2 linked regions of the Elephas maximus indicus genome follow. The protein of the gene in region 1 interacts with the protein of each later gene in a biochemical or structural test. Links are inferred from orthologs where the notes say so. Each region holds a gene or a part of one and is shown on either strand. Other genes may lie near its edges. The genes, in order: MAP1LC3A and ATG7.

The links.
Region 2: the proteins of MAP1LC3A (region 1) and ATG7 form a complex in vitro, tested with the Homo sapiens proteins (2 studies listed by BioGRID, with this or other methods). The link is inferred for Elephas maximus indicus from reciprocal best matches to the Homo sapiens genes MAP1LC3A and ATG7.

What each region holds. Positions count from the first base shown.
Region 1 is NC_064843.1:34,890,885-34,907,250, reverse strand, and holds MAP1LC3A (microtubule-associated proteins 1A/1B light chain 3A), read left to right. Parts: upstream 1-7,874; 5' UTR 7,875-8,037; coding exon 8,038-8,077; intron 8,078-8,375; coding exon 8,376-8,431; intron 8,432-8,518; coding exon 8,519-8,625; intron 8,626-8,926; coding exon 8,927-9,089; 3' UTR 9,090-9,096; intron 9,097-9,373; 3' UTR 9,374-9,540; downstream 9,541-16,366. Other genes in the region: PIGU (phosphatidylinositol glycan anchor biosynthesis class U protein), read right to left, coding at 10,277-10,390. UniProt on the Homo sapiens protein: Ubiquitin-like modifier involved in formation of autophagosomal vacuoles (autophagosomes). While LC3s are involved in elongation of the phagophore membrane, the GABARAP/GATE-16 subfamily is essential for a later stage in autophagosome maturation.
Region 2 is NC_064838.1:36,390,829-36,407,364, reverse strand, and holds the start of ATG7 (ubiquitin-like modifier-activating enzyme ATG7), read right to left. Parts: upstream 6,470-16,536; 5' UTR 6,405-6,469; intron 1-6,404. Other genes in the region: HRH1 (histamine H1 receptor), read right to left, coding at 15,338-16,536. UniProt on the Homo sapiens protein: E1-like activating enzyme involved in the 2 ubiquitin-like systems required for cytoplasm to vacuole transport (Cvt) and autophagy.

The sequences.
Region 1 (16,366 bases):
GAAGCACCTCTTTTCTTTAAGGAGATGTCCTACAAATCCCATACATCACTTTTCACTTATGTTTTATTGATCAAAGTTTAGTTACATTGCCACTCCCAACTAAAATGGAGGCTGGGAAATTAAGTCTTCTAGCTGGGTGTATGGCCACTGTGAAAGAGGGAAACTGAGACAGTGAGGCCCAGAAGAGAGGAAAGGCTAGGTTCAAGACTCCATATGGGCAGGGGCCTCCACTTCCCCAGTGGAGCCAGAGCATCTTTGGGGACTGAAAAGTGGACAGTCTGAGGCAGAGGTTTGGGGGGCCCTGGATGGGTTTCAGTCCCTTCAGTCTTCAGAAAAGTCCACTTAGAACCTGGAAACAAGAATAATCAATCCTTTCAGGGGACATCTAAGTCAATTGGCATAATAAAATCTATTAACATTCTGCATCCCACTTTGAAGAGTGGCGTCTGGGGTCTTAAATGCTAGCAAGCAGCCATCTAAGATGCATCAATTGGTCTCAACCCACCTGGATCAAAGGAGAATGAAGAACACCAAGGACACAAGGTAATTACGAGCCCAAGAGACAGAAAGAGCCACATGAACCAGAGACTACATCATCCTGAGACCAGAAGAACTAGATGGTGCCTGGCTACAACCAATGACTGCCCTGACAAGGAACGCAACAGAGAATCCCTGAGGGAGCAGGAGAGCAGTGGGATGCAGACCCCAAATTCTCATAAAAAAGATCAGACTTAATGGTCTGAGACTGGAAGGACTCTGGTGGTCATGGCCCCCAGACCTTCTGTTGGCCCAGGACAGGAACCATTCCTGAAGCCAACTCTTCAGACATGGATTGTACTGGACAATGGGTTGGAGAGGGACGCTGGTGAGGAGTGAGCTTCTTGGATCAGGTGGACACTTGAGACTCTGTTGGCATCTCCTGCCTGGAGGGTAGATGAGAGGGTAGAGAGGGTTAGAAGCTGGCGAAATGGACACAAAGAGAGAGAGCAGAGGGAAAGAGCGGGCTGTCTCATTAGGGGGAGAGTAATTGGGAGTATGTAGCAAGGTGTATGTAAGTTTTTATGTGAGAGATTGACCTGATTTGTAAACTTTCACTTAAAGCACAATACCCCAGTCCCGTCGAGTCGATTCTGATTCATAGCGACCCTACAGGACAGAGCAGAACTGCCCCACAGAGTTTCCAAGGAGCGCCTGGCGGATTCAAACTGCCAACCCTTTGGTTAGCAGCCGTAGCACTTAACCACTAAGCCGCCAGGGTTTCCTAAAGCACAACAGAAATGATTAAAAAAAAATAATAATAATAATCAATCCTTACTCAGAAGAGCAAGGAGGCCAGTGTAGCTGAAGCCAAAGGGGTGAGGGTAACAGTAGTTGAGGCCAGAGGTGCAGCAGGGAGCCATATTCCAAGGGCCTTGTGGGCCTGAGTCAGCCTTGGCTGTTGCTCTGAACCGGTGGGACCCAACTCCTGTGTGCACAGGATCGCTGTTGCCACTAGGGGCCAGGCCAGAGCAGTGAGGAGACAATGGCAATTGTCCTGGCGAGAGATGATGGTGGCTCTGACCCAAGTGGCAGCAATGGAGGTGGTGAGAAGTGGTCAGACTCTGGAGATATTTTGAAGGTGGAACTGATATGATATTGGAATGGATTGGATGTGGGTGGTGGAGGAAAGAAAGGAGTCAAAGATGACACCAAGGTTTCTGGCCTGGAAAAAATGAGACAGTGTTGATTACAAGTGAACAAGCTTTCGGGGAAGATCACATGGGTTGGTTTGGGGCAGGTCAAGTTTGAGGTATCAGACATTCAAGTCAAGGCATGGAGTAGCCAGGCCACAGGATTCAGGGGAGACTGGGAGATGAGGAGGAACCAGCAAAGAGGGAAGCCTGAGGACAGAAGGAGGAGGCAGGTCAGGCACTGTGACTGGTCAGGAAAGAGGAAGATGAGCACAGACTTTTGGATTTGGAGGATGGGCTCTCCTCCCCAACTCTAGCCTCAGCCCAGGGTTTAGTCTGAAAAACAAAAGAGAGGTGTAACCACTTCCTAAGGCCACAGCTGACCTAGTTCTTTCTGCTGCCCTTAATGGCTCTGATCACAAACTTATGTTGCAATGTTTGTGAGATTCTTCACTTTGACACAGAGCTGTAAATCAATGGCCAGCAAACCAAGGCCCTCATGCCAAACCTGCCTGTTTTAGTAACATTTTCTTGGAACACAGCCAGTCCCATTTGTTCAGGTGTTGTCTATGGCTGCTCTCAGCTACAACAACTGAACTGAGTAGTTGCCACAAAGACCATATGGCCTGAAAACCTTCAACATTTACTGCCTGGCCCTCTACAGGAAAAGTTTGCTGACCCCCTTCTAGATCCTTCCATTGTAAGTGTATTGTGTTCTGTTACAGGAATACACAACAAGATATTTAGTTAATAGGCCATTTAGGTGGTGTCTTAGGCTCAGTTCTCTAAAGAAGCAAAACCAGTGAAGTGTTTATATATAGACAGAGAGAGAGACTTATATCAAGGTAATGGCTCACCCGGTTGTAGGGGCTGTGAAGTCCCAACTCTGTGGGTCAGGCTGGAAGCTTCTCCTGACTCACGTAGCTACAGGGGCTGTTGAACCCAAGATCGGCAGGTCAGCTGTTAGCTCGAGTCCCAAGAACCAGAGGTCAGATGAACAGGAGCCAGCTGCAGGATCCAGAGCCAGCGAAAGCCTGCAAGCTCTGCCACAAAGTTCATCTATATTGGATGCAATCCACAGAGCCAAGGAAAATCTCTTTCAATTAATTGGCCACTGACAGCAGATCCCATCATGGAGGTGATCACATATCAGATCTCATCATGGAGGTGATTACATCATTAAAAAGCTGCCAAACTACATCATAACTGCCAAACCACTGAGGATTGTGGCCCAGCCAAGGTGACGCACAACCTTAACTATCACAGGTGGTTTCCACTTTTTTGCTATCAGGAAAATGCTACAATAAATATTCTTAACCATGTTTGCTTGGGCTCAGGGACACATGTACAAGTGGAATTCATGGTTTGTGGATACAGGCATCTTCTGTTTTGGTAGATTTTGCCAAACTGCTCTCCAACGTGGCTGAAATCACAAGTTTTCTCCACTATCCGAAAGTAGATCGTTCCTATGAAAACTTTCAGAAGCCAAAATGGCATAATTTGAAGACGCAATTATCATTAATTTAAACGCGAAAATTTTTTCAGCATTCTCGGACCCAAAAAATAATCTACCAAATCATACCCAATAACGCATAAAACACTTAGGAGCTCTCTTAGGCTTTTCTGATACTTTAAGACATGTTACTAACGGATGCACAAAATAAATCGACATAATGCACAGACGCTCACAGACCCAGAGCAAATCTATGGTGGCTTGATGCTGAGTGCAGTTCCTGGTGAAGGAGCTTGGTGACATCATTCTTGCTGCTTGGGGTGTGCACTGCCTAACGGCTCAACAAATGCTGAATGCTATTTCCACTTTTTGCCTTTTTTTGTAAAAGCAAAAATACTCTTTGGATTTCTTTGGGTTAGCAAAAGAGGTACTAATGTAGGTCCTTCGTAAAAGCCAAGTGGCATAAAGAGAACTTTTCAAAAGCAGGGGATACCCGTACACTCCCATCAGCAGAGCAAAAACATTCCCAACTTCACACACTCTTCTAAAGCCTGATACTGTGTACTGTCGTTGTTAACTGTATTATTTACCAGTCTCTTCTTGACAGCAGTGGGTTTTAGTTTGGGTCTTCTTGTCTGTAGATTCCCTTGGATTTTCTGGCTGTCAGTAACAGTTTTGCCCCTTTCTGTCCAGTCCTTAACAATTTTATTCTTCTTGTCTTGCTTTGGGTGGGCCCTCCATGCAATATTGAACAGAAACCCTTGGTTCCTGACTTTAAGCGGAATGCTCACTATTTCACCATGTAGTATGGTGTTTTACATTAAGTATAATGTTTGCCGCAGGTTTGGGATTTTTTATCTTGGTAGAACTCACGTGGAAAACCATCTAGACCAGTTGATTTTTTGGGAGATAGATTTTTAACTTTTTTTTTCCATTTTCCCAATGTTCTTAATAGGTATAAGGCTATGAAGTTTGTCTACTTCTTTTTGAGTTAGTTTTAGCAAATTATATGTTATTAGGAAATTGTCTATTTCATCCAAGTTTTAAATTTACTGGCATAAAGTTGTTTACAATATTCCAGTCATTTTTGTGATTCCTGTTCTATCTGTAGTTATGTCTCTTTTGCACACTAATGCTCATTTTATCGGTCTTTTCAAAAGCCCAACTTTGATTTGTTGATCCATTAATTTCTGCTCTTATTATCTTCCTTCCACTTTCTTTGGGTTTACACTGTTACTCCTTTTTAAATTTGATGCTCTGCTTAAATTTAATTTTATATTAAATTACCCATATACATAATAAGGCTAGACATCTCCTTCTAAGACTGCTGCCTTAGTTGCATGTCCTTCCAAGAGATTTTGATATCTGTCCTCATTTTTTATCAAATCTAAATGTTTTCTATTTCTACACGATTTCACCTTTGAGTACAGAGTTATTTGGAAGTATGTTTAAATTTCCACTTCCCCACTCTGTGGTCAGAGGATACGGTCTGCATGAAATTGATTATCTGGTATCTGCTGAGATTTTTCTGGCGGCCTAGTGGTTAGGTAATTCTTTGTAAATGTTTCACACGTGACTTAAAATAACTTGTTGGGTTCAGGGTTCAACTGAAGTTCAATGATCAGGATTATTGTGTTAAAAATCTTCTATATCCTTTCTTTTCTGGCTGCTTGGTCTATCAGTTACTGAGAGAGAAGTATTAAAATTTCCTAGTATGGAACATTTTGATCAAAGATTCTATAGAAGAATCCTGATCAAAATGGAGAAAATATAGAACAGAATTTCAAATTCTCATTGAATCCAAACTTTCCAAAGCTGTGGAGGCTGGATGAACCCCTGAAACTATTGCTCTGAGATAATCTTTAAATTTGAAACCAAAAATATCCCCTGAAGTCTTCTTAAAACCAAACAATAGTGTAGCTTAACTAGTAAAAAATGTCTGCCTTGAGCATTATGCTCTTTCAAGATCTATCTTTATGGGATCAAACTGACAACAGCAACTCAAAAGATTAGACAGGAACTTAGGGGAAGTGAGTTTATGTTAATCAGGGAAGAACAATTCGGAAAAGCAGGGTGAGAATGGTTGCACAACTTGAAGAATGTAAACAGTATCACTGAATTGTACCTGAAGAAGCTGTTGAATTGGTGTAAGTTTTGCTGTCTACATTCTCTACAACAAAATAATAAATTAAAAAAAATTTTTTAAAGATTTTAAAGCAATAAAAAAAATTCCTAGTATGATAGAGTATTTGGCAATTTCTCCTTATACTTCTGACATTTTATATATTTTGAGCCTATTGTACCTGGAACATACAAGTTCAGAATTGTTATATCTTCCTAGAGAATAGTGCCTTTCATCATTTTCTAGTGACCTGTTTTATCCCCAACAATGCCTTTTGCCTTAAAGTCTATTTTGTCTGATTTTGCTATACATACATACTTTGGTTAGTTTTTCTATAGTACATCTTTTCCCACCTTTTTTTATTTTTGATGCCTTTAGGTTTTAAGTGTCCCCTTAGGCTGGGTACTCTAGAGAAGCAAAACCAGGAAAGCATATAAATACACGCAGGGAGAGATTTATATCAAGGAAACAGCTCACGCAATTGTAGAGGCTGGAATGTCCCAAGTCTGTGGATCAGGATAGAGGCTTCTCTTGATTCACGGAACTGCAGGGGCTAATGAACCCAAGATCAGCAGGTCAGAGAGCAGGGCTCCTGCTCTCAGGCTGTGAAGATCGACAAATCCCAAGATCTGCAGACAGGCTAACAGCCCAAGTCCCAAGAGCCGGAGGTCAGACAAACAGGAGGAAGCCACAGGATCCAGAGTGAGCAAAAAGCCATAATGTCTTATATTCGGATGCAGGCCACACCCCCGAGGAAACTCCCTTTCAACTGATGGGCTACTCACAGCAGATTCCATCATGGGAGTGATCACATATAAACACTGAGAATCGTGGCCCAGCCAAGATGACACGCAATGTTAACCATCACGCCTTTACAGCACAGAGCTGGATTTTATCTTCCTTAGCCAATCTGATAACGTTTTTTAACAGGTGAACTTAAAACACATTTCCTACCTCTGGTTTTGTGCTGTTTACCATCCTTTTTACTTTACTTCCTTTTTCTCCTTTCTACCTTCTATTGTATTTTTAGCACCCTTTTTTACTACCCTTTTCTCTTTTCAGCACTGACAGTTATGCATTCCATTTCTATTCTTCTAATGGTCACTCTTAAAAGTTTAAAATACATATTTGACTTTCCGAAGCCAGACAACTGTCAATATCTTTATCCTCCTCTCAAACAAATCGGATTTCTTAAGAACACTTTAACTCTGATTACCCTCTCCTGCCTTACATGTTATTGTGTCCCATGCACCTTCTTTTTAATCCCCACAAATTAATCATTACTATTACTGTTCTAAAAGCAGTGGCTGAGCAATCAGCTGCTAACTGAAAGGTCAGCAGTTTGAACCCACCAGCTGCTCTGGGGGAGAGAGATGTGGTGGTCTGTTCCTGTACAGACTACAGGCTTGGGAACCCTATGAGGCAGTTCTACTCTGTCCTACAGGGTAGCTATGAGGCGGGATGGACTTGAGGGCAACGGGTTTGCTTTTTATTCCTGTTTTTGCTTTTTTATTACTGTTCTATATTAAGTGCCTGTTTAGACTTACCTAGCAGTTTACTACCTTATGTGCTCACCATTTTTTCATCTAATTTCTTCCCTCTGGGTTACTTGTTATTATTAAAGTATATCCTTCAAAAATTATTTAAGCAATCATCTGTGTAAACTATGCCTTTGTCTTAACATATCTTTCCTTCTCTCAGACTCTTAAATCATGGATTAACTTACTAGTTGACCATATTTTTCCCTCAGAAGTTGAAGATGTTATTACATTTTATTCTGGCTTTTATATTTGCTGCTGAGAAGTCAACCATCAGTCTTATTTTCCTGCCACAATCTTTCTATTCTCTCCTTCTGGAACTCTGATGATTAGACCTGTGAGTCCTTCTCACTTTATTATTCATGTCACTCACTCATTCATACTTTCCATCACCTTCTTTCTCTGGGTAAATGCTTCCGATCTATCCTCCACTTCAGTGATTTTCTCTGCTATTGTGTCCAATTTGTGTTCTTATCCCATCCACTGAGACTTGAATTTCAATGCCTCTATTTTTCAATTCTAGAAATTATTTTTAAAACCTGTCTGCTCCTTTTCCGTGTCTTCCTCTTTCCATACGTTGAAATTCTTCCCCTCTCCCACCTCCCCCCTTTTTTTCCTGTAACCAAAAGCTCCATGAAGGCGACTTTGGTTCACTGCTCTTATCTCCAGCATCTAGTACAGTCCTTGGAACTCCGCGCGCCCTGGGTGCGCGTTTGTCAAATGACTTAGCGAGAGTGGGACCAGGTGGATGCTGAGTTGCTGCCGGGCCCACGCTCTCCTACCGGCATGAGCCACACGGCCCAGGTTGGGTCCGCCCCCCGCTCCCTTTCACCCCATTCCCCGCAACGGTCTCGCCGGTTTTCAGCTTTCACCTCAGTCCGGAACTTGGCAAGAGGTGCCCGCGCAGACCATGACGTCAGGGGACTGTGACGCTCCCTGGGAACCCCCGCCCCTTCGCGTCGCCGGGCCGGGAATCCAGGCTCTCTGCGCCGTGACGTCACGGACTCGGGCGGGCGGGTTTTGCGTCGGCCCAATGGGAGCGGCGCGCCGGCCTCCCCTTTAAGGAATGTTGTGACCTGACGTCACCGGGGCGAGTTACCTCCCGGAGCCGCCGCGGCTGGGCTCAGCGCGAGCCCGGAGCCCTTGAACGCGAGGCGAGGAGCCCCCGGAGCCCCCGGAGCCCCCGAACCGCAGCCACATCCCTGCGCCGCGCACCCCGGAGCCCAGACCTGCGCGTCCCGCTGGGCCCGCGCGATGCCCTCGGACCGGCCTTTCAAGCAGCGGCGGAGCTTCGGTGAGGCCTGGCGGGCGGTCTGCGAGCGCGGGATGGGGGGCGTCGGACCCATTCCGACTGCCGCTGGTGACGTCAGCCCCATGACGTCAGACTCCGGCTGGCCCCGGGGCTGGGAGGCGGGCTCCGGCCGGGCCGGGGGCATCAACGCTCGGTCCTGTGCCGGGGACTGCGGGGCCGGACGGCCCGGGGGCGGGGGCTGGGGCGGGCGGGGCGGGGCTGCGGCCGCCCCTCGGGAGCAGGACGGGACCCGGAGAGCACCTCCGCCCGGCCTCACCGCCCCACCGACCGTCGTCCGCAGCCGACCGCTGTAAGGAGGTGCAGCAGATCCGCGACCAGCACCCCAGCAAGATCCCGGTGAGGCCCGCCGTCCCCTCCCCGTCCCCGCCCTGCCCCAGGCCCCGCCTTGGGCTCACGCACCCCCCCCCCCCGCCCCTCTCCCAGGTGATCATCGAGCGCTACAAGGGTGAGAAGCAGCTGCCGGTCCTGGATAAGACCAAGTTCCTGGTCCCGGACCATGTCAACATGAGCGAGCTGGTCAAGATCATCCGGTAAGCGGGCAGCCCGCCGCTGGAGAGGGACTTGGGTCCAGCTGGCGTCAGGCAGGCGACCGATGCCCTCCGGGAAGAGGCTATGGTGGGGCCAGGGCCTGGGACCGGTGCTGGGCATCTGTTCTGGGGCGGCCAGACAGTCAAAAGGGTCCGGGCTGGGGTCAGTGTGGAGACAGAGATGAGACCCTTTTGAAGGATCTGAGGTGGTTATGAAGCGAAGGTTGGGAGCCATCCTGGGGAGAGGGTTGGGGGCTAAGGGACCGGGCAGCTCACAGTCCGCATGCCCTCCCGCCCGCCTCAGGCGCCGCCTGCAGCTGAACCCCACGCAGGCCTTCTTCCTGCTGGTGAACCAGCACAGCATGGTGAGCGTGTCCACACCCATCGCAGACATCTACGAGCAGGAGAAAGACGACGACGGCTTCCTCTACATGGTCTACGCCTCCCAGGAAACCTTCGGCTTCTGAGCCAGCAGTAGGGGGGGTTGGCCTGGGAGTGGGGGGGGGGGGTGGGGAGCCAGTCAGGCTCTGCCCAGGGAGCCCCTGTCTCCTGAACCGAATTGCCTCTGCCCCTGGTGGGCTGGGCAGGGATGTGGCCCCGTAGCCAGGGGACATCAACCATGCCACCTGTGCCCCTGGGCAGATCCTGGGCCAGTCACTTTAGGGTTGCCCCTCTGGGTGTTGGCTGGGATGGGGGAGGGTGGGGAGCCGCCCCCTGCACCCCTGCTCTGTGTGGTTTGTCTTTTTTTTAGGCCCATGCCTCTCTGCCCATCTGCCCCTCACCCACCCGAGGCACTGCCCCGTTCGTGGACCTGCTCACCCCTAAGGACTGGTCCCTGGCTTCCCTGGTCTTGACATGGTGTATGGATCTGTGGTCATTGTTCCTCTGCAGAATTAAAGATTGCTCAGGCCTGCCTGGCCCTTTGCCTCCTGCTGCTTGCTTGTGGGGTGGGGAGGGTTGCTGATGAGACTGTGGGGAACCATTCTCAGCCTGCAGGGAACAGACTTTTGTTCTGTGGACTCAGGGCTCATTCTGGAAACCCATGCCAGTGTGTAGTAGTGTTGTTGGGTGCTTTTGAGTCAATTCTGACTTGTTGTGACCCCATGTGACAGAGTAAAACTGCCCCATAGGGTTTTCTTGGCTGTAATCTTTAGGGTCGCTATGAGTTGGAATCGACTCCATGGCACTGGGTTTGGTTTTGGTTTGGAATCTTTACAGAAACATACTACCAGGTCTTTCTTCTGCAGAACTGGGTGGGTTCAAACCGCCAACCCTTGGTATTGTGGCAGTATGAGGGGCCAAGCTACCCTCTCCAGGCATACACTGTGGTCCCAGGGTAGACATCTTCATAACAAAAACATTTATTAAGTAGCCACAACCCAACAAGTCCTGCCCACCTGCATCTTCCTCCTTTCTGCCTACGAGGGAGCTCCTTGGTGTGCAAGCCACAAAGTGGGGGTCCAAGGTGAGGTGCTCCTGGATCCTCCCCACAGGCCAGCCACGGCCCCCATCTGGTGCCAGGAATTTGTAATCCTGGACTTGAACCCCCATCTACCCAGGGACTAGCCTCCTGGCAATCCTGGTTGGAGGGCACGGTCCAGCTCCTGGCTTTTCCATCCCCCTGAAGTCCGTGCAGTCCTGTGCTCAGTCAGGCCTACTTGAGCACAAGCATGGCTTCCGTGCCGTCCTTGGCAGTCAAGTAGAGACCATGTGTGAGGTAGTACTCTCGCCGCAGGAAGGCGTAGAAGTAATCAGAGATGAGCAGGATCTGGGGAAAGAGAGAGGATGTGAGAAGCTGGAGGGTACTGCCCTCTAAACCCAGGGTCCCTGAGGGGCTGGGCAGGTGCTGGGGGACAGGAAGGCCCCAGCCTATGCCTGGATCAACAGCCACTGAGGAGACCCTGCCCAAAGCCTCCCACTTCAGGGCCCACCCTTGGCCCTGCAAGGTCTCGCTGGCCTCTCAAAAGTTGTCTGCACTCCGCCCCCTCTCTCCCTACCACGATCTACATCTCCCTTCCACACCCTGGCCTCCGAACAGCAGGCTAGTGCATCTGCATCCAGAGACCCCTCTACCTCACCACAGGGGTGGTCCACAGGCCCCTCCACCCCAGCCAGATCCAGACCAAACTCACTTCCCTGTCAAATCTTATTCTCCCACTCGGCACCCATGCCCCCATCTTCCATCTGGGTGCCCAGGCCATAGAATTATCTGGCACTTGTCACCCCAACACACATCCCCCTCATCCAATAAGCCATCAAGTCCTCTCAGTTTTATCTCTTAAACTGTCTCCCAACTCCACCCATTTCTGTTCATCCCCATGGCCAGCACTCTGTAAAAAGCCACTGTCGACTCCTGAACAACAGCAAGGCCTCCTCCTTAGGCTCTTTACTTTCAAAACACTCCAGTCCATTCTCCCCAGAGCTAGAGGGAGCTTTGCAAAAACAAATCTGGTTATGTTACTTTCTAGCTTAAAATACTCCAAGGGCTTCCTGTTTGGGGGTCTTGCAGTTGGCCCCACCCATGTACATGCCTCACCCTCCCTGTGTTCCACCTCACTTGGCCTCTTTGCCCCTGCTGCAGATCTCTGCTGTGTCCTCTGCCTGGAGTGCTCTCTCCCCTTTCATCTAGTCAATGCCTACTTGCCCCTCAGGTCTCAGGCAGGAGCACTGCCTCAGAGAAGCTCTCCTTTATCCCCCACGTTAGGTCTTGGCCATATTTGCCTCTATTTGGTAGCACAAACTCACCCAGGATGGAATTTCACATTCACCTGTGTGGGTGCTTGATGACTGTGGGTCTCCTCACTGGACTGGGAGCACTACTGGGTCAGGTTCCCTAAGTGGCTTGGCTCACCAGTTACCTCCATGCCCAGCTCAGTCTGCCTTTTCCATTCTGGGCCACCAAATCCAAAGGGTCCTAGAAGCTGAGCCCACCATCCCCCTCACCAAGGCCCAAAGAAGAACAATGATTTGCTAAGGTCAGCCACACGTAAGACCTGCAGTCATTCAATCCCACCCATCCCAAACTACCCGAGTCCTCCGATGCCTGGAACAGGAGGGGCAGGGGCCCTGGCCCACAGAAGGAAGGGGAGGAAAGGGCTCACCACTGCAGATACCAGCAGTTCACAGGCACCTAGAGCACACTCAGAGTATCTCCCTCATGGCACAGACAGGGAGACTGAGGCCTACAGCAGAGGAGGCACTTGGTTAGGGTTTTAGAGCAAGTTAGAGGTTGCAGTGAGCCTGGCTGGGATCTAGTCCACCAGCCCTCCAGCCCTGGCACTTCTCTCACTCACCTGCAGTTAATGAGAGCAGCTGAACATACCGTGGGCAGGAAAGAGACATGGAGGGGCCTGGAGGAGGAATTCAGGGAGGTGCTCCTGTCACCAACAACAACAAGTACCTGCCATCCTATCACCACAGGAGCCTGACTGGAAGGTATGCTCATTCCGGTCTTAAAGATGAGAAAACTTCAAGTGGCCATGGAACCTGCAAGGTGATGCACCTGGGGCCCAGTCTCAAAGGGCACAGGTATCAGTGGGGCAGACAGAACCCAGGGAGCCCCCCTGAGGCTTTGCCCCACAGCTGCCTGGACTGGCAGCTCCCAACTGACCCCCAGAGTAGAGGCAGTTATCACAGCAGATGCTAACCACATACCCTGCAATAGCTTTTCTCACTCAGGCCCCAAGATGCCCTGGCTGGGGAAGAAGAGCCTGATGCAGTGTCTGTCCTGGTGGAGGGGACCTTGAGCCAGGTCAGATGAGGGGTAGAGCCTAAGTCAGAATTTAGAACAAAACAAAATGAGCCCCCAAAGGACTAAAGGACCAAACGAACCAGAGACTCCACCAGCCTGAGACCAGAAGAACTAGATAGATGGTGCCCAGATACCACCAATGACTGCCCTGACAGGGAACACAACAGACAGTCCTGGACAGAGCAGGAGAAAAAACATAGGAGAGAATTCAAATTCACATAAAAAGACCAGACTTAATGGTCTTACAGAGACCGGAGGAACTCCTGAAACTATGGCCCCTGGATGCTCTGTTAACCCATAAATGAAACCATTCATGAAGCCCACTCCTCAGACAAAGATTAGACAGGCCTGTAAAACAAAAAAATAATGCAAGTGAGGAACATGCTTCTTAAGTTCAATCAAATATATGAGACCGAATGGGCAGTTCCTGACCAAAAGCAAGACGAAAAGGCAGGAAGGGACAGGAACTGGACAGACACAGGGAGCCCGGGATGGAAGGGAGAAGCATGCTGTCACATTGTGGGGGTTGCAACTAGTGTCACAAAACAACATGTGTATAAATTTTTGAATGAGAAGTTAACTTGAGCTGTAAACTTTCACCTGAAGCACAATAAAAAAGAAGTCCTTATACAAGCCTTATTAAAATTAGGAAATAAAAATTTGATAAAAAAAATAAAATTCAATTGAAAAACAATCCACCAAAACCAAACCAAACCCAGTGCTGCTGAGTCGATTCCAACTCATAGAGACCCTATAGGATAGAGTGGAACAGCCCCATAGAGTTTCCAAGGAGCCCCTGGCAGATTCGAACTGCCGACCCTTTGGTTAGCAGCCATAGCACTTAACCGCTACGCCACCAGGGTTTAAATAAAAGGGGGAGAAGAGAGAAATCTTCCTACGGAAGAATTCCAAACAATATACATATATACTCCCCTCTCCAGGAGGTGGGGCTGAATTCTTACCCACCTCCCAGCGCTGAGGGTGGGCTAGGGTTGGTAACTCACTTCCAGAGAATAAAGCTGGGAAAGAGAAAATAGTAACTTTACAGTGCAGAATCCTGGCAAATGCTACCTTAACCAAGTGATAAAGGTCAACATCATTGGTGATGTCATGTGGCTAGCTTATACCCCAATATGATCTGATATGGTGTTCTTTCCAAAAACCCATAACCGCAGTGTAATTACGAGAAAAACAAAGACAAACCCAAACTGAAAGATATCCGACAGGGTAGCTGGCCTGTACTTCTTAAAGACTGTCAAGGTCATGGAAAACAAGGAAAGACTGAGAAACTATCACAGAGCAGAGGAGACAGGGGAAACACGACGAGTAAATGTATGCGGTCCTCTGAATGGGGTCCTGGAACAGAAAGAGGTCATTAATTGAAAAACTGGTGAAATCAAGTCTGGAGTTAATAGCAATGTACCAGAAAGGAGCCCTGGTGGCACAGCCGTTAAGCACCTGGCTGCTAATCCAAAGGCTGGCAGTTGAACTCACCCAGTGGCTGTGTGGGAAAAAGACCTGATGATCGCTCCTATAAAGATGACAGCCAGGAAACCCTATGGGACAGTTCTAGTCCATCATATGGGATCACTATGAGTTGACAACAATGTACCAGTGTCAGTTTCTTAGTTGTGACAAAGGTACCACAATAAGATGTTAACAATGAGGGAACTCAGTGTGGGGTGTATGGGAACTCTCTGTATTATCTTCGCAGCTTTTCCGTAAAGCTAAAATTATTACCAAAGAAAAAGTTTATTTAAAAAAAAAGCAATGAACTATATTGTTAAGTGCAACAACATGGATGAATCTCAAAAGACATTTTCCTGAGTTCAAGGAGGCTTCAGCAAATATCATGTAAGATCTGTGCTTTCTACCATACGTAAATTTTACATAAGAAAAATATAAATAAATATTGAGCCCTAGTTAATGATATACATACTGAAATATTTAGGGCGAAATGTGCTGATGTCTTCACTTCAATCTGAAATACATTAAGAAAATAAGACGGATTGATGGATAGATTTGTGATCAAAGAAGTACAATGAAATGTTGATGGTAGAATCCAGGCAGTGGGTAGGTATATGGCTGTTGAATGCAAAATCTGTCAACTTTGCTGTGCGTTTGAACTTCGTCATAATGAAGTGTCAGGAGGGCAAAGGATCCTCTGTGCTCACTTGGGCTGTCTGGAACTGAAGGTCACCGTCCTGAGTGGACACTTGCCCCCAAAGAGCAGGCATCTCCGTGGGAACCAGGCTAACTTGAAGGTTTGACTCCTTCAGAGGGAAGCCTTTGGCTGAGATAACCTCTTCTGACCTTGGGGCTTTCCGTTTGGGCTGTGAGGAGAAGGGATTTCCCAGAGCCCCTAGGATTTAGCCAACACAGCAGCTGCAGACCCAGAGCCTCTTTGCCCAGTCTAGAGAGGGAGAAGCTGGGCAAGGGACGACAGAAAGAGCATGGGCTAGTTAGTGGCTATGTGACCTGAGTAAGTCTCTTCCCCTTCCCTAAACTTCATTTTCCTTACATGGAAAATGAGAGTTTATTACTCCAAAGGTGGGTTCCCCTAGTCCTTGCCCTGGACTTGGGGGCTCCAGAGCATGTCTGCTCTGAGGGACCTGAAGAGCAGCCCTGTTCTTTGAACCTGCCCTTACCTAACGTCATGTTGCTGAGCCCTTGGCTTCTCTCCTCCCATCGATCACCAATTTCCTCCCCAAACTTCCTGAGTCAGCTGCCTTTTCTCCCCTCCCCAGCCACCTCTAAATGGGAGGCCTGCTCCTGAGGGAGGGATGTGTAACACACGCGCACCCACGTCACATCCCTGCCCACAAGAGCCCTTCTCTTGCGTACTCTGCACCTCACCACAACTACAGCTCAGTCCTACAAACACTGCACTGCCACAAGAAATGGGGTAGCATCTGCTCTGGCTCCGTGGCCCTGGGCCCAGCACAGGGCTCAGCTCTGGGAGTAGTTTGCTTGTCCCCACCCCACTGACACTGACCTCCAGGCATGGCTCAGTCAGACCACATTCTGCTCACTGGCAGCCATGAGGGCTCCAGGGTTGCCTCCCCTTGGGCCATGATGAAGATTTAATGGGGCAGCTGATAAAAGGGTGGCCAGAGGAAGAGAGGAGTAGATCAGAAGTGGAGTGAAGGCATCAGAACCTGGTCCAGTACAGGGCGGGATAGAGAAGAGACAAGAAACTAACATTTTCTGAGTATCTACCTTGTGCTAGACCCTTTAACAAAAAACATGGCACTGAATCTTCACAACACCCTATGGGACAGGGCTTATAATCCCCATTTAGAGATAAGGAAACCCAGAGGTTAAGCATCTTGCCTAGGGTCACGTGATGGTAAGTAAAGAGTTCAGGCTGTAATGCCAGTCCTGCCTGAGGCCAAAGCCCTGATTCTTCCCACTGCCCCACGACCCTCCTCAGTTAAGGATGCTGGGAGCGGAGAACAGTCTGCAACCCACACTGACTGAGTCTTGCTACACGCCAGACCCAGGCTGACGTGCGTATAACTCTAATACCCCACTCGGGCTGTTCTTCCCAGTTCATAGACTGTCACGTAGCCATGAAAGAGAGGCAGATTCTTTTTTTCTGAAAAGGCAAATAAGCACCTGTGCCTTCCAAGCCAGTGGAGGTCATTAATTCAGTGCATCTTGAAGCTGCAGGGCTCTGGGCAGCAGCCTCAGCCAACAAGAGTCCTGGGCTGCAGCTTCCTGGAGAAGTAGCTGCTGTCGCTTCAGGCACGCCTCGGCTCCCCTGGCCTCCTGCTCCTGGTGGAGATGCTAGCACTCGAAGGCCAGCTGGCACTGGGCGGAGCTCATGTAGTGGTCACAGTCGGTAATCAAAGCGCAGCGTCCTCTGCCCACACTGCCTGGGGATCTAGGAAACTGGGATTGAGAGAAGGCTGACTACTGGCCTGGGGAGCTGGACAGGGTTTTGCCATAAGCCACCAACTCAGGAACCTGAATGGACACTATGTGGGAGGC
Region 2 (16,536 bases), on another chromosome or scaffold:
CTGACCACCTGGAATGACAGGTCAATTTTAACAAGATTAAAATTTCGTAGCAGTAAATATAAGGCCTTATATGTAGATCCAAAAAAAAAAAGCTACTCCGCAACAATGCCGTTTGTTACATGCAGGAAGTAGGAGGCACTGGGAAGAGCACAGGTTCATGAGCCACAGACACCAGAGTTCAAATCCAGCCTGTTACTTTCTAGCCACATAGCCTTGGGCAAGTCACTGCACTTCTCTGAGCCTGTTTCCTCATCTGTAACACAGGACACCACATATCGTGTAGTTATTTAGAGGATTCAGTTAGAAAGTGCGTCTATCTGGCACACAGGAAGCACGTAAAACGTGAGGGCTAATATTACCAACAAAATACGTGCTAACGACATAGTGGTTTCCACTGAGTTATTTCTTCAAGAAACGTTTATATTAGTCCCTATGGTATAGTTCAGGAGTCACTGGGAAAGAAGCTATTGTTGTCATTAGTTGCCATGGAGTTGGCCTGACTCACACTGGTTCCACACACGATAGAACAAGACGCTGGCTGGCTGCACCCTGTGACTGGCTGCGGATCAGGCTGCTGTGACCCACTGGGTGTTCACTGGCTGATTTTCAGAAGTAGATCACCAGGTGCTTCTTCTTAGTTCACCTTAGTCTGACAGCCCCGCTGAAAGCTGTTCAGCATCATAGCAACATGTAAGCCTCCTCATGCACTGGCCAGGAATTGAGCCCAGGTTTCCCACACTGAAAGGTGAGAATTTTACCACTGAACCACCACTGCCCACTTAAAGAAGCTATGGTCTCTACTTTTAAGGAGCCAATAGTTTTGAGGGAAAGCTAGACAAGGAATGTCATCACAGCAATTTGATAAGCCATGGATTTGTATTTTAGAAAACACCTGCAGTTTAGAAAGGGCACTTCAGCTTGTATTGGAGACACAGCAGTGAGAGCCAGGCTGCTGGAGACAGGACACCCAGCTTGGAGATTATGCAGGAAAATAGGCAGGAAGTGAGGAGGGCCTGAACTAAGGCAGTGGTGGAGGGAAAGAAGAGGAGGAAACACATCCAGAGACATTAAGGAAGTAAGATCTGTGGAACTCAGATGACTGCCTGGCCTGGGAGAGAGAAGGGATGGCATGAGAGGGAAGAGTTCAGGATGACTCTCAGGGTTCTATTTTGGATGATTAAATGGAAGGAGGGAAATATGTGAGATAAAAAGGATGGAAAGAATCATAAGTTTGGAGGGAAAATGATGAGCTTGGTTTTGGACTTGTTGAATTTACAGGCTGGCCCTTAGGAGAGAGATCTGGGCTTGAGTTACAGAGCTGGGTGTCATGGGTACATGAATGAGTACTGAAGCCATGGTTGAGAAGAGCAAAGAGTAGAGGGCAAAGCCCTGAAGAAAGTGGGTCAAAAGAAGGAAAAGAACACACAATGCAAACTGAGGGGGTAAATGGCCAGACAGACAGTACAAAGAAGGACTAGTTTTCATAAAATGAAGGAATATAAGCAACATGAGATGTGCTAAGGAGTCAAAAGATAAGGAAGGAGTTGCAGCAACGCAGAGGCCTGATGACGTGGGGAGCAGTTTTGGTGGCGTGGAGGGGATGAAGCAGGGTTTCAGCGGATGATAACTTAAGAAAGCGGAGGTTAAAGCTGCAGATAACTCTCCCAAGAACGGTGGCCAGAAAGAGGAGTGATGCAGTACAGCAGAGGTTAATGGGAGGGTGTTTTGTAAATTCCAAATTGAGAAGAAATTGAGGATATTTAGAAGAGAGACGTTTGTGACACAGGAAAGAAAAGGAACAAATGATGGAACCAGTCCCTAAAGAAAAGGAGATGGAATCTGAAGCACAGGTAGAGAAATCAGCCTTGTTCAAGACAAACACCACTTCTTTCACAGAATTAGAATAAAAGGCACAATGATAGGGTCAGCTGGAGATAAGCTTGTAAATGATAGAAGCTGAGGAGCCTTAACTGATGGCTACGGCTCATGAAGTAAAAGACACAGCAGGAGCGTGAGGAGAGGGATGACACCGTGGATGTCATAGCGGGGAATGGGCTGCCTGAGGACACAAGGGGATCGCTGAGCAGCTCTGAGGGCCCCGCTGGCCTGCCTGGTAACGGGATGCTTGTTAAGAGCCTGATGCATCCCCCGATGAAAATCGGGAGAAAGGGTCTTAGGTTACTGCAAAAAACATGCAGTCTGCTCTGCACGGTCAGACACATCGAGGAAAAAGGACTTCCTTTCTATACCATGCACTCGAAGAGGGACTGATGAAGATGAACATGTTCAAAGGATAGTAACTAGGATGAAGAAGGTGTGAGGAAGTCCCAAAGGGGATCGTTTGGGGGATGGACTGAGATCTAGTAACAGACCTGTAACAAGGCTCTCGTCCTTGTTGTTGTTAGCTGCCGTGGAGTCAGCCCTGGACTCAAGGTGACCCTATGCACAACGGAACAAAACTGCCCAGTCCTGCACCATCCCCCTGATTGGTTTCAGATCAGACAATGTTCCATTGCAATCCATAGGGCTTTCGTTAGCTGATATTCAGGAGTAGATCATCGGGCCTTTCTTCCTAGCACATCTTAGTCTGGAAATTCTGCTGAAACCTGTTCAGCAGCACAGCAGCACACATGCCTCCACTGACAGACTGCTGGTGGGTGTGCATGAGGTCCACTGGCCAGGAATCATACTCAGGTCTCCCTCATGGAAGGTGAGAATTCCACCACTGAACCAACAACACTCCTGGGAACAAAGTCAACCAAAAAACCAAACCCATTGCCATCGAGTCAGTTCCGACTTACAGCGACCCTGTAGGATAGAGTAGAACTGCCCCATAAGTTTTCCAAGGAGCAGCTGGTGGATTCCAACTGCTGACATTTTGGTTAGCAGCCAAGCTCTTAACCACTGCATTCTACCCTGATTACACAAGCAGGCCTAACTACACTGGAGAAAGGTGGGAACAGGATAGACAGAGAAAGGAGGAGAAGAAAGGCATTGGGAAGGCATTTACATCCATGGGTAAAAGTGGAGGACAGGCCAATTAGGCTTCCAAATAAAATCTCAGAGGTAGTCAGGGATTACCACACAGTGAATTCATCTTTTCCCAATATCCTGATTCCTGCTTTCCTCTTCTCCCTGTTACCCAATCATTTATCAAATCCAGAAAACTCCACCTCCTGTTCTCTCTCAAATCTACCCACCTGTCTCAGTCCCCACAGCAACTGCACTGACATCATTCTGTCTTCAATTTCTGTCATTGGAATTACTGTAACAGTGCCCTGACTGCTCTCTCTACTGGTCTTGCCCTGTCCAATGTAATCACCACACTGCTGCCCGGGTAAATTAAAAGAGACTAGAGCATATCACAGCCCTCTTAAAAATTCTTTAGTGCCCCACCGCCTGTTCCCATAGCTTTAAAAATGAAGTCCAACCTTCTTAGATTGTCATGCTAACTGCTATTCTTTGAGTGTTTACTATTTACCAGTGTCAAGTGGGTAATACATCAGCTCATTCAATTCTCAAAGAAACCCTGGGATGTAGGTTAACACATCCACTTTTTATGGATGAGGAAACTGAAGCTTAGAAAGGAAGTGATGGCCCAAAGCCACAAGCCTAGTTCATTAGCAAGGCCAGTATTTGTACACGAGTATCTTTGATTCCAAAGTCTGTGCTCATGACTACTACATGCCCGTCATGATCTCGCTCCCACTTGCCTTTCCACAGTCACCTCTTATTCTAAAACTCTTCACTCCAGCTCTGCCCTCTCACCTACAACCCTTCGCTCATGCCTTTCCCAGTGTCTGCGGTATCATCTCTCCCACGTCCCACCCCTCTTCAGCTGACTAATTCCTACTCATCCTAGGACTTAATAAAACATCACCTCCTCACAGAAGCCTTCTCTAATGCTTCAGCCTGAATTACGGGCGTTCCTCAGTCCCCCTCTAGAAAACCTCTACAATAGCTTCATACTGTACTGTTGTTGTCTATCTCCTTGACTTAAAAAACAGTAAACTCCTTGAGAACAGAGATATGTATCTTACTCAATTTTGCATTCCCAAATTGCAGTGCACTGCCAGGCACTCAGCAAAAAAAAAAAAAAAAACCTGCAGCCATCAAGTTGATTCCAACTCATAGTGACCCTGTAGTACAGAGTAGAACTGCCCCATAAAGTTTCCAAGGAGTGCCTGGTGGATTCAAACTGCCAACCTTTTGCACTCAGCAGTAGCAGTTTCTATTATGGAACACTGGTGGTCTAGTGGTTAAGTGCTACAGCTGCTAACTAGAAGGCTGGCAGTTTGAATCCACCAGGCACTCCTTGGAAACTCTATGGGGCAGTTCTAGTCTGGCCTATAGGGTCGCTATGAGTCAGAAACGACTCGATGGCACTCGGTTGGTTGGTTGGTTTGGCTGGGAACAGAAAAGGGACCTTGTGGTTGAATAATGGAGAGCCCAGTATTCAGCTCCTTAAGGTGTTTCAAAATCGTGTCACATAAGGAGCAGGAAGGAGTTGACCAGGGGGAAAAAAAAAAAGGGTGGGGGTGTTCTAGGCAGCAGGAACAGCAGGAGCAACACAAACAAGGAGTGTAGCCAAGACAGAATCTGCAAGCAGTTTAATGAGACTGGGGCACAGAGTTGGGGAGAGAGGGAAAAGTCAGGCAGGATGAGCCTTCACAGTCTGGCCTTTTCATCATTCAGGTGTTAGCTCCAATGTCACCTCCTCAGAAAAGACTTCTCTGACCAGCTAGCTTTTTAGAAATAGCCCTCTACTTCCCCCAATCCCATTACTCAACAACCCATTACTTTTTTTTTCTTCATAGCCCCGATCAGTATATGATAACACCCACCACCCTTCAAAAATATTGTTTATTGATGATTCCACCCACCACCATCAAAAAGCAGGCTTTGTGAAAGCATGGTCCTTACTTATCTTATTTTGCTGGTATATCACCAGAGCCTACCACACATATGTGTTTGGCACACAGAAAACACACAACTGCTTGACTCATTTATTCAACAACTATTAATTGGATAGAAACCCTAGTGGAGTAGTAGTTAAGAGCTACGGTTGCTAACCAAAAGGTCAGCAATTCAAATCCACCAGGCGCTCCTTGGAAATTCTATGGGGCAGTTCTGCTCTGTCCTAAAAGTCACTATCGGAATCGACTCAGGCAATGGGTTTTTTTTTGGCTACTAACTGCATGTCTATAATATGCTAGACACTGTTCTAGATGCTGGGGATATAACAACAAATAAAACAAGACGAAATCTTCTGTCCTTGCGGAGCTTACCACGGGTAGCTAAATTAAGTATACTTAGCATAAAGGCGGAATCGACTCGTAGGCACTGGTTTTGAAAGAGCATAAAGGCGAGAGGGTAGGAAAAGAAGTCAAACTAGCAGCTTTCAAAGATGTGCAGGACAATTAGGTGGAAGGGAGATTTTAAGAGCCTGGAGGGACGATAAGCTGAGATTACTGGGTAACAGCTTTCAGCTCCACGTATGACTTTTTAAGAGACAGCACTTGGGGAAAACCAAACAGGAGAAACCAGAAGTAGTGCGCTTTCTGGGACTGTGGAAATTTAATCAATGGGCAGGGATGTCACAGAAGAGACCCAAGTATTCAGTGGAAAAGGGACTGCGGGACCCAGAGGTCCCAAACTGACAGCCAAAGGTATGCCTGGCTTCAGCTGCACAGTGAGTTCTGGTTTCATATCTCCAATATCATGACAGTATTGTGCTTATAAAACTCAGTTCAGTCAAAATAAAAGTCTGATTATATTTCCGACAAAGAACTTTTCTTACACCTATCGTTTACCTTATCTGACTCCTGTTAAGTATTAGAGTTTGCAACCCCTGGACCAAACCCAAGCATCCCAGAACCTTAGCTGTCAACACCCTTAGAGTTCTCATTTCCCAAATGACATATAAACATCCCTATTTTACAGATGAGGGAAGAGAGGCTCAGAGAGGGGAGACAAGTGCCAGACTCACACAAGAAATCTGGGCAAAGCCAGGATGAAACCCAGGTGTCCCATCTCCTGTGTTCCAACACCGGAGATTTTGATCACTCCCTGCCCAAGAACAGGAGGAACTGATTTAAGAAATTAGCAGGCGCTTTCCTTGTCACTAATAGTCGGAATCGACTCGAGGGCAACGGGTTTGTTTTTTCGTTTTCCTTGTCAGACGAGCCCGGGCTGAAGGAGCCTGAGAAAACACTGTTGGAGAGGGTGACAGCGGGAGGCAGTGACGCCCGGCAGGTGGAAGGACCGCCCAGGGGCGTGCGGGGGAGGAGCTTGAGTCCCGCCAACACCCAGACCCTCATCGCTGAACTACCCTCCTCTCCCTAAGCCTCCAAAACCCACCCGCAGGACCCCCACTACTCCCTCAACAGCCGCGGCTCACTTACCGCCGCTCAACTTCCGGCAACCACAGCGTCGTCCGCAGTGCGCGCCCCAATGACGTACCATGGCCCCGCCCCACCAGGGTGGGGAGAGCGGTGCGCGTGCGCACAAGGAAAAAACGCGCAAGCCTGGGGAAATGAGTCCCTAGCACCGGATTGAAGGGGAGGAACTTGAGTCTTGGGAAGGCGGGGCATCAGGGGGTGGGCGAGGCTACCTGGTGAGAGCCGTTGGACGGAGACTTTCTCTGCCTTAACGGATGTGGGAATGTGTACATGGGCCGTTAAACTTTCAAAAAAATGCCCCCACATTCTCTTCCGATTTCAGAGGATGACAGGAATTATCATCATTCCCATTTTCCAGGAGAGAAAACCTCCAACATAGCAGGGGACCACTACGGAGGCAGTGCGGAGAGACCCAAAAACCAAACCCACTGCCGTGAAGTCAATTCTGACTCATAGCGACCCTATAGGACGGAGTAGAACTGCCCCATAGGGTTTCCAAGGCTGTAAAATCTTTACAAAAGCAGACTGCCATGTCTTTCTCCCACAGAGCGGCTGGTAGGTTCAAACCAATGAATTTTGGGTTAGCAGCGGAGTACTTAACCACGGGTGCTGAAAATACAACAGCGAATGTGATAAACTCAATCTGGCATAGAAAGTCTCTTCACAAAGTGACCCTGATATGACTCTATAGACTTAAAACAGAGCAATGACTACTATTTGTTGATGCCCTACCATGTTTGTAGTGTTTCCTAGCTCTAATCCTCACAACGGTCCTTCAGGATAGATGGTATGGTACTACCCCGATTTTACATATGAAAGAACAACAACAAAACCCAGCCGCTATCAAGTAGATTCCTTGAGAAACTGTTTGAATTCTCCTGGAATCTAGATTTCTTGGTCCATGGAGTTAGGGTGATCCACATAGGTCATTTGCCTTTAGGTGTCCTTTTAAAACTTGAGCCTAGAAGAAACTTGTTTTCTAAAAGCCACTTTTGAGCCAAACAATGGTCTATATAAACTAGTAAAACTGTTTTTCTTTGGGCATTGTGGTCTTTTGAAGAATTCAGTCAGTTTCAAGAAACAGACTCCAAGGATCAGACTGGGAGCTATGTTTTAGGGTAAATCAGTAATTATTTTAATTGCTTCTCAAGACAATGCTGTATGAAATTTTTCTTGACCACAAATTGCTTATCAGTTCTGTTCTGCCCTTTCCTCATGGCAATGCCGCTAAGATTTAGTATAAGAATTTTGGAAGTTCTTCTCATCTTCGGAACATTTTTGACTCTCTGGTCGAAAATTTACCCCAATTTGCAAATTGTATATTAAATAAGTGGTGCCTTGGTGGGCACAGTGGTTAAGAACTATGGCTGCTAACTAAAAGGTCAGCAGTTCAAATCCACCAGCCACTCCCTAGAAACCCCATGGGGCAGTTCTACTCTTTTGTATATGGTCCCTATGAGTCAAAATCAACTTGACGGCAACGGGTTATATTAAATAAACTTCAATTCATTTCTATTACTGGCTTAATATGACTTTGTTTTAATACTACTTATGGCAATCCAGGAAAACCCTGGTGGTGTAGTGGTTAAGTGCTACAGCTGCTAACCAAAAGATCAGCAGTTTGAATCCACCAGGTGCTCCTTGGAAACTTTATGGGGCAGTTTTACTCTGTCCTATAGGGTTGCTATGAGTCAGAATCGACTTAACGGCAATGGGTTTGCCTTGGTTTTGCTATGGCAATCCAGAGCCCTGGTGGCACAGTGGTTAAGTGCTACGGCTATTAACCAAAAGGTCAACAGTTCAAATCCACCAGTTGCTCCTTGAAAACCCTATGGAGCAGTTCTACTCTGTACTGTAGGGTCACTATAAGTTGGAATTGACTCGATGGCAACAGGTCGTGGCAACCCCCATGCATGCAGAGTAGAAGGGCACTCTGTAGGGTTTTCAAGGCTGTGAACTTTCAGGCCTTTCTTTCAAGGTGCCTTTTGGTGGGTTTAAACCACCAACATTTGTAGGCAAGTGCCTAACCATCTGCACCACCCAAGGACTCCTATGAAAGAACAGAGGCTGGGAAAACATAAGTGCCTTATTGAAGATGAAAGAACTTTGGGCCCAGGCCTCTAATGGAAGCCTGTCTTAACACTGTCAAATAAAAAATAAATCTGAACTGAGCAAGAAGAAACTTTATTCAAAAGAATTATTGCAAGAGGGAGAAAGGGACTGTCTTAGTCATCAAGTGCTGCTATAACAGAAATACCACAAGTGGATGGCTTTAACAAAGATAAATTTATTTTCTCACAGTCTAGTAGGTTACAAGTCCAAATTCAGGGCATCATCTCCAGGGGAAGGCTCTCTCTCCCTCTCTGTTGGCTCTTGAGGAAGGTGGTTGTCCTTAGTCTTTCCCTGGCCAAGGAGCTTCTCAGGCACAGGGGCTCCGTGTTCAAAGAACTCCTCTGCTCCTTGTGCTGCTTTATTGGTGGTACGAGGTGCCCCGTCTCTCTGCTTGCTTTTTTCTTTTATATCTCAAGAGATTGCCTCAAGACACAATCCAATCATAGGTTGAATCCTCCCTCACTAACTCAACTGCCACCCATCCTCTCTCATTAACATCATAGAGGCAGGATTTACAACATATAGGAAAATCACACAATACCAGGAGTCACGGCCCAGCCCAATTGATACACACATTTTTGGGGGGATATAATAGGGTCACTATGAGTCGGAATTGACTCGATGGCAGTGGGGTGGGGGAATTCAATCCATGACAGGGACTATTGCAATAAAGGGGAAGAGGACTACTATTACAATAGGGAGAATTCTCTGACCAAAGGATCTACAACCAGTCTTATGTGTTAGGCAAAAGGAATTTTTCTTTTATAAAACCCATTGCCGTTGAGTCGATTCCGACTCATAGTGACCCTGGTGGTATAGTGGTTAAGTGCTATGGCAGCTAACCAAAAGGTCGGCAGTTCAAATCACCAGGCGTTCCTTGGAAACCGTATGGGGTTATTCTCTACTCTGTCCTATAGGGTCGCTATGAGCTGGACCCTATTTTCTTTTATAAAAAAAAAAAAAAAGAAACCAGTGCCGTCGAGTTGATTCCGACTCATAGTGACCCTATAGGAGGGAGGAGTAAACAAGGCTAGAAACAAGGAGTGGCTTGATTGGATCAAAAAATGGTTTACCTGGAGGCCAGCCTATTCTCAGGAGGGGTTGTATGCTGGCTCAGGCTGAGGATGGGTCAAAATTCAGGAGCCTAGGGGAAGGGGAGAAGCTTAACCAAAGTCTGGTTAACAAGCATTTTTTTCCAATTCATCAGCGGAGGGAAGTCGTTCAGCTAATCTTTTATGAGGCAAAGAATGGGAATTTGGAGGGTCTGGTGGTACAGTGGTTAAGAGCTATGGCTGTTAACCCAAAGGTCAGCAGTTGGAATCCACCAGCTGCTCATTGGAAACCCTATGGGGCAGTTCTACTCTCTCCTGTAGGGTCATTGAGTCGGAATGGACTCAATGGCAACAGGTTTGTTTCTTTTGTTTGTTTTTTTGGCTCAGTGGTTAAGAGCTCAGCTGCTAACCGACAGGTCGGTGGTTTGTACCCACCAGCTGCTCTGCAGGAGAAAGATGTGACAGTCTGCTTCCATAAGATTGCAGCCTTGGAAATCCTGTGGGGCAGTTCTACTCTGTCCTGTAGTGTCACTGTGAGTTGGAATCAATGGCAACAAATTCGGTTTGTATTTTTTGGTGTCTGATCTTGGAGTCCCTGGGTAGTGCAAACCATTAACACACTTAGCTACTCACCGAAATGTTGCAGGTTTGAGTCCACCTCAGAAAAAAGGCCTACTTTCTAAAAATCAGCCACTGAAAACTCTATGGAGCACAGTTCTACTCTGACACACATGGGCCGCCATGAATTAGAATCAACTCAACAGCAACTGGACTGTAATAAACAACTTCAGGAGTTTCTGCCCAGCGCGCAATGATTCCCTCTTCTTTGGGAACTGTTGGTTTCTGTCTAAGTACCACATACGCTGCCCTGGGCCACCTCCCTCCACAGTTGATTGGGGCAGAGGTGGATACCTATGATGATTCTCTACCCTGAGTTTTGGACTTTTGAACTAATGCTCGTAGAGACTAAAATTAGGCACAATTCACATAGGTCCATGGCAGTATTCTAGAGGGCATGTCCTTAAGTGCTGAGGTTCCTTTGGCTGACTTGGCTCAAGCCCTTCCCAAAGCTAGGTTACTCAAAACTCCACTGGAGTCCAGAAATACCCCGGGAACCATTCACAAAGCTTGTTTCTGTCATTTGGAACTCTGAAGCAGCTTCATAGGGTTGGAACCATGTCTGTCTTGTTCTCCATTGTCTACCAACACCTGGCACAAGGTCTGGCCCAAAAAGCACTCAAAATGTGTTTGTTAAATTAACAGACAAAGTCTGAGCATCAAAAATAAATGTGGGATCCAGGGCTAATGGTGACTCAGGCCACTAATGTGGCCACCTTGTTAGCAGGGAGTTAGGGTGGGGCTCAGAGCAGCAGGCCTGCCCCTGCTGACCAAGATGGGGTCGGGGGTGGCTTTTGTTAGACAGACCATTGGGGCACCAAGACCATGGAACATCAAGTATCAAGAGAGCTGCAGAAACTGGAGCCACTGAAAGGCAGAGAATGTTCTCAGACACAGCAGGGAACGAGGTTCCTTGACACTTATCTAAGACCACAGCGATTCAGGCTAATGCACTTTCACCACTTGTCTTGCAGCTCAATTAAGGGGAGCAGAGACTCCCTACAGTAGGAGACCTGACCAAGCCAGCCTAGGTTTTGAAAGGCCACTGGCAAATTAGATCTTAACAGCATCGTTCCTTCATAGCACTTACAGTGCCTAGCAGCCAGAAGAGCCCCAGCAACTTATTCCACTTTGTTAAGCCCATTAAATCTACCTCCTGGAAGTCCCTCCCGTCTTCAAAAGGGAGCCCAGCCAAGTTTCTGAAAGCCAAGAAGCCCAATGACCAATTCACCAATGGCCAATTTGCTGACTGACAGATTTTCTGAATGAACACTAAGCTAAAATGACCAATTTATAAGGTTTACAGCAATTTCTATCAATGAAATAGCTTCGTGAGCTTTTAAAGATTTATGTGATACCGTAGTTGACTGGGTTTCATTTTGTCTTCAGAGAAAGCAAAATGTTTTCTATTTATCAAAAGCTAAGGGTTGTTTAGTTTTCCTTTGAGTATATTAATGAAGAATATGTTCTTGAACATAGCTTTTATTTTTGAGTGTATTAATATTATGCCACTCAGTCTCCTTTTTCTATCCCCCACTTGCTTCTTCTCCTTTCCCGTCTCCTTTCCCGTCCCTCAGACTTCCCCTTTTCCATCCCCTCTCAGTGTCTTTATGTCTTCATCTCTCTATGTCTTGTTATTGTTGTTAGCTGCCATTGAGTCGGCCTTCAACTCATGGCGACCCCATGCACAATGAAATGAAACACTAATTGGTCCTGTGCCATTCCCATCATCTACTGAAGATCCCACCATTGTGATCCACAGGGTTTTCATTGGCTTACTTTTGGAAGTAGATTGCCAGGCCTTTATTTCTAGTCTGTCTTAGTCTGGAAACTCTACTGAAGCCTGTTCAGCATCACAGCAATATGCAAGCCTCCACTGATAGACAGGTGTGGCTATGCCTAAAGTGCATTAGCCAGGAACCCAACCCACGTCTCCCACATGAAAGGTGAGAATTCTACCACTGAACCCCCACTGCCTCCTTCTCTGTGTCTTAATCTCCCCATCTGCCCCTTAATCTGCCCCTCCTTCAGTATCCTCCTCTTTCTGGGCATTTGGTTCCCCCTCTCTCCTTCTTCTGTTCCTTGGTGTCACCCATCTCTTCTCCTTAGACCCCTCCTGACCGTCTGTCTCCTCCTCTCCACTCCCTAAACCAAAAAAGAAAAACCCAAACCCATTGCCGCCGAGTCGATTCCAAATCATAGCGACCCTCTAGTTCCTCTTATTTCTACCCCTCATTCTTCTTGCTCTCTCTCATTCTCTCCACCTCAGTTTCCCCCTTTCTGCTTCTGGGTCTCCCTGTAGTAGCAGTAAGCAGAGAGCATAGATAAAGAGGACATTCCTTAATATGCTGCCATTTAAAAAAAAAAAGTGAAAACCAGGTACTATAATTTCTCAACATGTTTCTAAAATGTTTTTTAAAAATCTCACCTCATGTGAAGTGTTGTAAACCTTGTAAATGATTCAAAAGAAGCCAATTTTTGGTAAATCAGCAAACTTAATAAATTTGGCAAATTGGTCATTCTGGGAACTAACTTTAAGCTAATCAGCCTTAAGCCAATAAAAAAGAAACCTGAAGGAGGTCCTGAGTCTTAGCCACAATTGTGGTTTCTACGACAGCCTTCCCCTATAAAGGGTTTGTTTTAATATTTAGGGCAGAAAGCCTGGCTTCAGCTGGATTTCATGCAAGCTGCCAGCCATCGATTCTTTCCTACATGTGCTGGGCTGAGTTATCTCTGCATCATAGTCCATTGTTTTTCATAAATTCAAAATTAATTCAGTCACACAGTCAGGAGTAGGAAGGGTAGGTTGATACAGTGGAAAGGAAGCAGATTCCAGAATCAGGTCTTAGAGTGGTTCCTTAACCCTCTGTACCTCAGTTTGCCTATTTGTAAAAGCAAGGAAATCCCCTTCATGAGGTTGTTGTGAAGGTTAAACTAGATAACATGGGTAAGGCACAAAACCTGGATCTTAGTGTATCCTCAGCATGGTTTAAAAAACATATATATGAGTGTCTGCTGTGTACCCGACACTGTGGCATACACCACAGACACTATAATAAAATAACGCTAGACTCTGACCATTTACACTTTTTAACTATTTCTTTGAGTTCTTGTCAAACCCCAAAGTCAGAGCTCATAACCACTTCTCACTACTACTTCTGTCAATTATCATCAGTATAAGTAATGTCTGTGTGGAGTGGTCTTTTTAAGTGTTCGGGGTCCTGAGGGATCCTGAGACAAAATTCTCTCACAGGTCTTCTGAGCAATTGTTTCTGACCTGGAAATAGACCAGCTGCAGCTTCAAAAACAAGGAAAAACATCTCCTAAACTCTCCCAGTTTTGAGCAAGAAGAACTTTTCGTGATGCGGAACAGAGTGAAAATGAAGCTTTTTATTAAAAAAAAAAAAAAGTCCTTTTCTAAAGCTATTTACAAATGCAAACAGAAATGGGAGAGAAACGCTATATCAAATCTTGTAACAGTTGATACTACATTTGAATGTATCTTCTCAGTCCAAGAGACTCCAAAGTTAAAAAGAAAGAAATCACTTAACATTGTAGTTTCAAACATCATATTTAGGTAGGTAAAAAGGTCTCATTTTAACAGATCATGCAAACAGTAACACAAGATTCAAAATACTAGCTTGTACAGGCACTCCCATTTGCTACACATATTACAGTCTAGGCTCAAGTTTTAAAATATAGATCACCACCAGATTGCAACACAAACACCAAATAAAACTGTATGTTCTCATGCCTTATTAGTTTTTGCTTAAGAAGGCTGACTGTGAAAGAACATGGCCACTTTTTTAACAAACACAACAGAACTCACCAGTAAATAGTAGTCACCTTCTGCGGCCACAAGCTTATTCTATGTCAGCTGGTTTTCCTCCCAACTTATTTTTTCAAGAATTGCCACTACTCTTGGGAATGTGTGCGTGTGCGTGTATTTGTACTTAGGAGAACCAATCTCTGCCTTTTGGAGAAAATGGGGTACCAGACAGGGTTTTTATCCTAGCTCCCCTGTATAACTAGCTATGTGACCTTAGGCAACTTACTGAAACCTGCTGCACCTCGATTTGGTGGAGCCTATAACAACACCCTCCTGTTGTGGGGTGCTGTGGAGCCTATAACAACACCCTCCGTTGTGGGGTGCTGTGGGGTTTAAAGAAGATAAACATGGTACCAGTTAAACCAGTTGCCACTGAGTCAACTCTAACTCACGACAACTCCATGTCAGAGTAGAACTATGCTCCACAGGGTTTTCAATGACGATTTTTCAGAAGTAGATTGCCAAGGCTTTCTTCCAACATCTCTGGGTGGAATCAAACTGTCAACGTTTAGCAGCCAAACGCATTAACCATTTGCACCCCCCAGGGACTCCAAACCTGGTACAGCCTTCAAGAAATAAAGCTTTCTTGCCCCTATTCCCTTTTTTGTTTTGATTGTGTAACCATTTTCCTTTTTCTCTTTCTTTTGAGGGCAGCTTTTATCATTATATTTTTAAGAGCCAAAAGGAATTTGGGGTTGAAAATGATAGCTGTTCAAGCTGCATAATTTCCTACTCTAAGACATGCGTGAGTGAGAAATAATAAGGCAGAATTTCCAGGGCAATTGAGATACTGGCTCTGGAGAAAGTTGTAAAAGAGGCTCAGAAGAGAGGTGTCCTGACAAGTGGCAGCCACAGAGGGACAGCTGTCCTGCCTCTCAAGGTGACCCCTTCGAAGGAACACCATCTGTCTGCGTGTATATAACTCTCTGCACAGTCATCAGCTCCATTCCAGGAAAGATCTAGAGTTCTGGCTAACGCTCCAGTGAAGCTCTACCCACATGTCCCTTGGGTTGCTAATTAATTCAAGTCTGAAAACTTGAAAGTACAGTCTGAGGCTCCCAAATCTCCTGAGGAAAAGGAGAGTTCCATCCAGGTCTGATTCTCTTGGAGAGACGCTGCTTTCTACTTAGAGTACAATGTCTCTGCTGACCACCACCATCTGCAGTTCTTCCAATGGTGCATAAGAACTTCCCAAAGGACCTAGCGCCTAAGACTGTTGTTTGACTCCAGGAAGCCCAGAGGCCTGGCAACACACAGGCCTTTATCCTCCATTGCCTTCTAGGACACCATCGGCATCCCTTTGTTGCAGCCCATCAGAACCCTGTTTAGCAGTGAATGTGCAGAATTTTCTTGAATGTCTTTTTGAAGTTCTCATTGCACAAGGGATAGATGAGGGGGTTCAGCGTGGAGTTGATATAGCCCAGCCAGATGGTAAACATGTGTGCTCGTTCACTGAAGCAGCTCTCGCAGAAGGCAATTACCATGAAGAAGATGAAGTAGGGAGTCCAGCAAATGATGAAGGCTGCCATGATAAAACCCAATTGTTTGGCTGCCTTCCTTTCACGGTTCACGTGCAACCCAGACACAAACTGTCTTGAATGTGATCGAAGTCTCTTCCACGTGAACTTGATATAATCCAGGCTTGTGCCAGGCCCACTTTTCAATTTGCCTTTCCCTGACGCTGGCTCAGTGTGGGTATTTAAGTCTGCTTTGGAAAAGGGCTGGCTTTTACCTAGGGTCTGGTCCTCTGATGTCTTGCCAGCCCCATGTGTGTTCAGGCCCTGCTTGTCTATCTCAAGCTGGGTCTGGTTGATGGCTACATACTCCCTGCCACCCTCCTCCACCATGGTCTGAATCGGCACCACGTTAAGTGGGAAGCCGTGGAGTTTGGCCACTTCTCCATCCTCCTCTTGGCTGAAGACAACTGGGGATTTCATCTCCCCTGGGTCTTGGGATGGTGGCTTCAAGGCAGGTCCACCACTGGCATCTTTACACTTCCTTTTCAGAACCTCGCTGGGGGACTCTCTCCCTGGTTTCTTGGCACCGACCTTGGGATTCTCTGGCCTCTGCCTAAATTCTGAGAAGGAAGGGAGGGATCCATCAGTGAGCTCCCGGTGCTGACAATGTTGCTGCACGGCCTTGTAGATCTTGGCATAGAACCAGAGCATGAGCAAGGTAGGCAGGTAGAAGTTGATGATGGCGGTCATGATCTTGAACCAGGTGACATCGTAGAAGTCTGTCTCACACTTGTCCTGCTGGTACTTCGAGCCCCCTGATATAAAACGATGCCAGCCTAGAATGGGGATAATCCACAGGAAGGAGAGAAACCAGGCACCCATGATGGTAGCTGATGCTCGAGTCTTGGTACGATACCGCAGGTACCTGAGGGGCTGCTGGACAGAGCGGTAGCGGTCGATGCACAAGATGAAGACACTGAAAATAGATGCTGTGCTGGCCACGTAGTCCATGGACAGCCAAAAGAGGCAGAGAGGCCGGCCCAGGGACCACTTGGACCTGTGGAGGT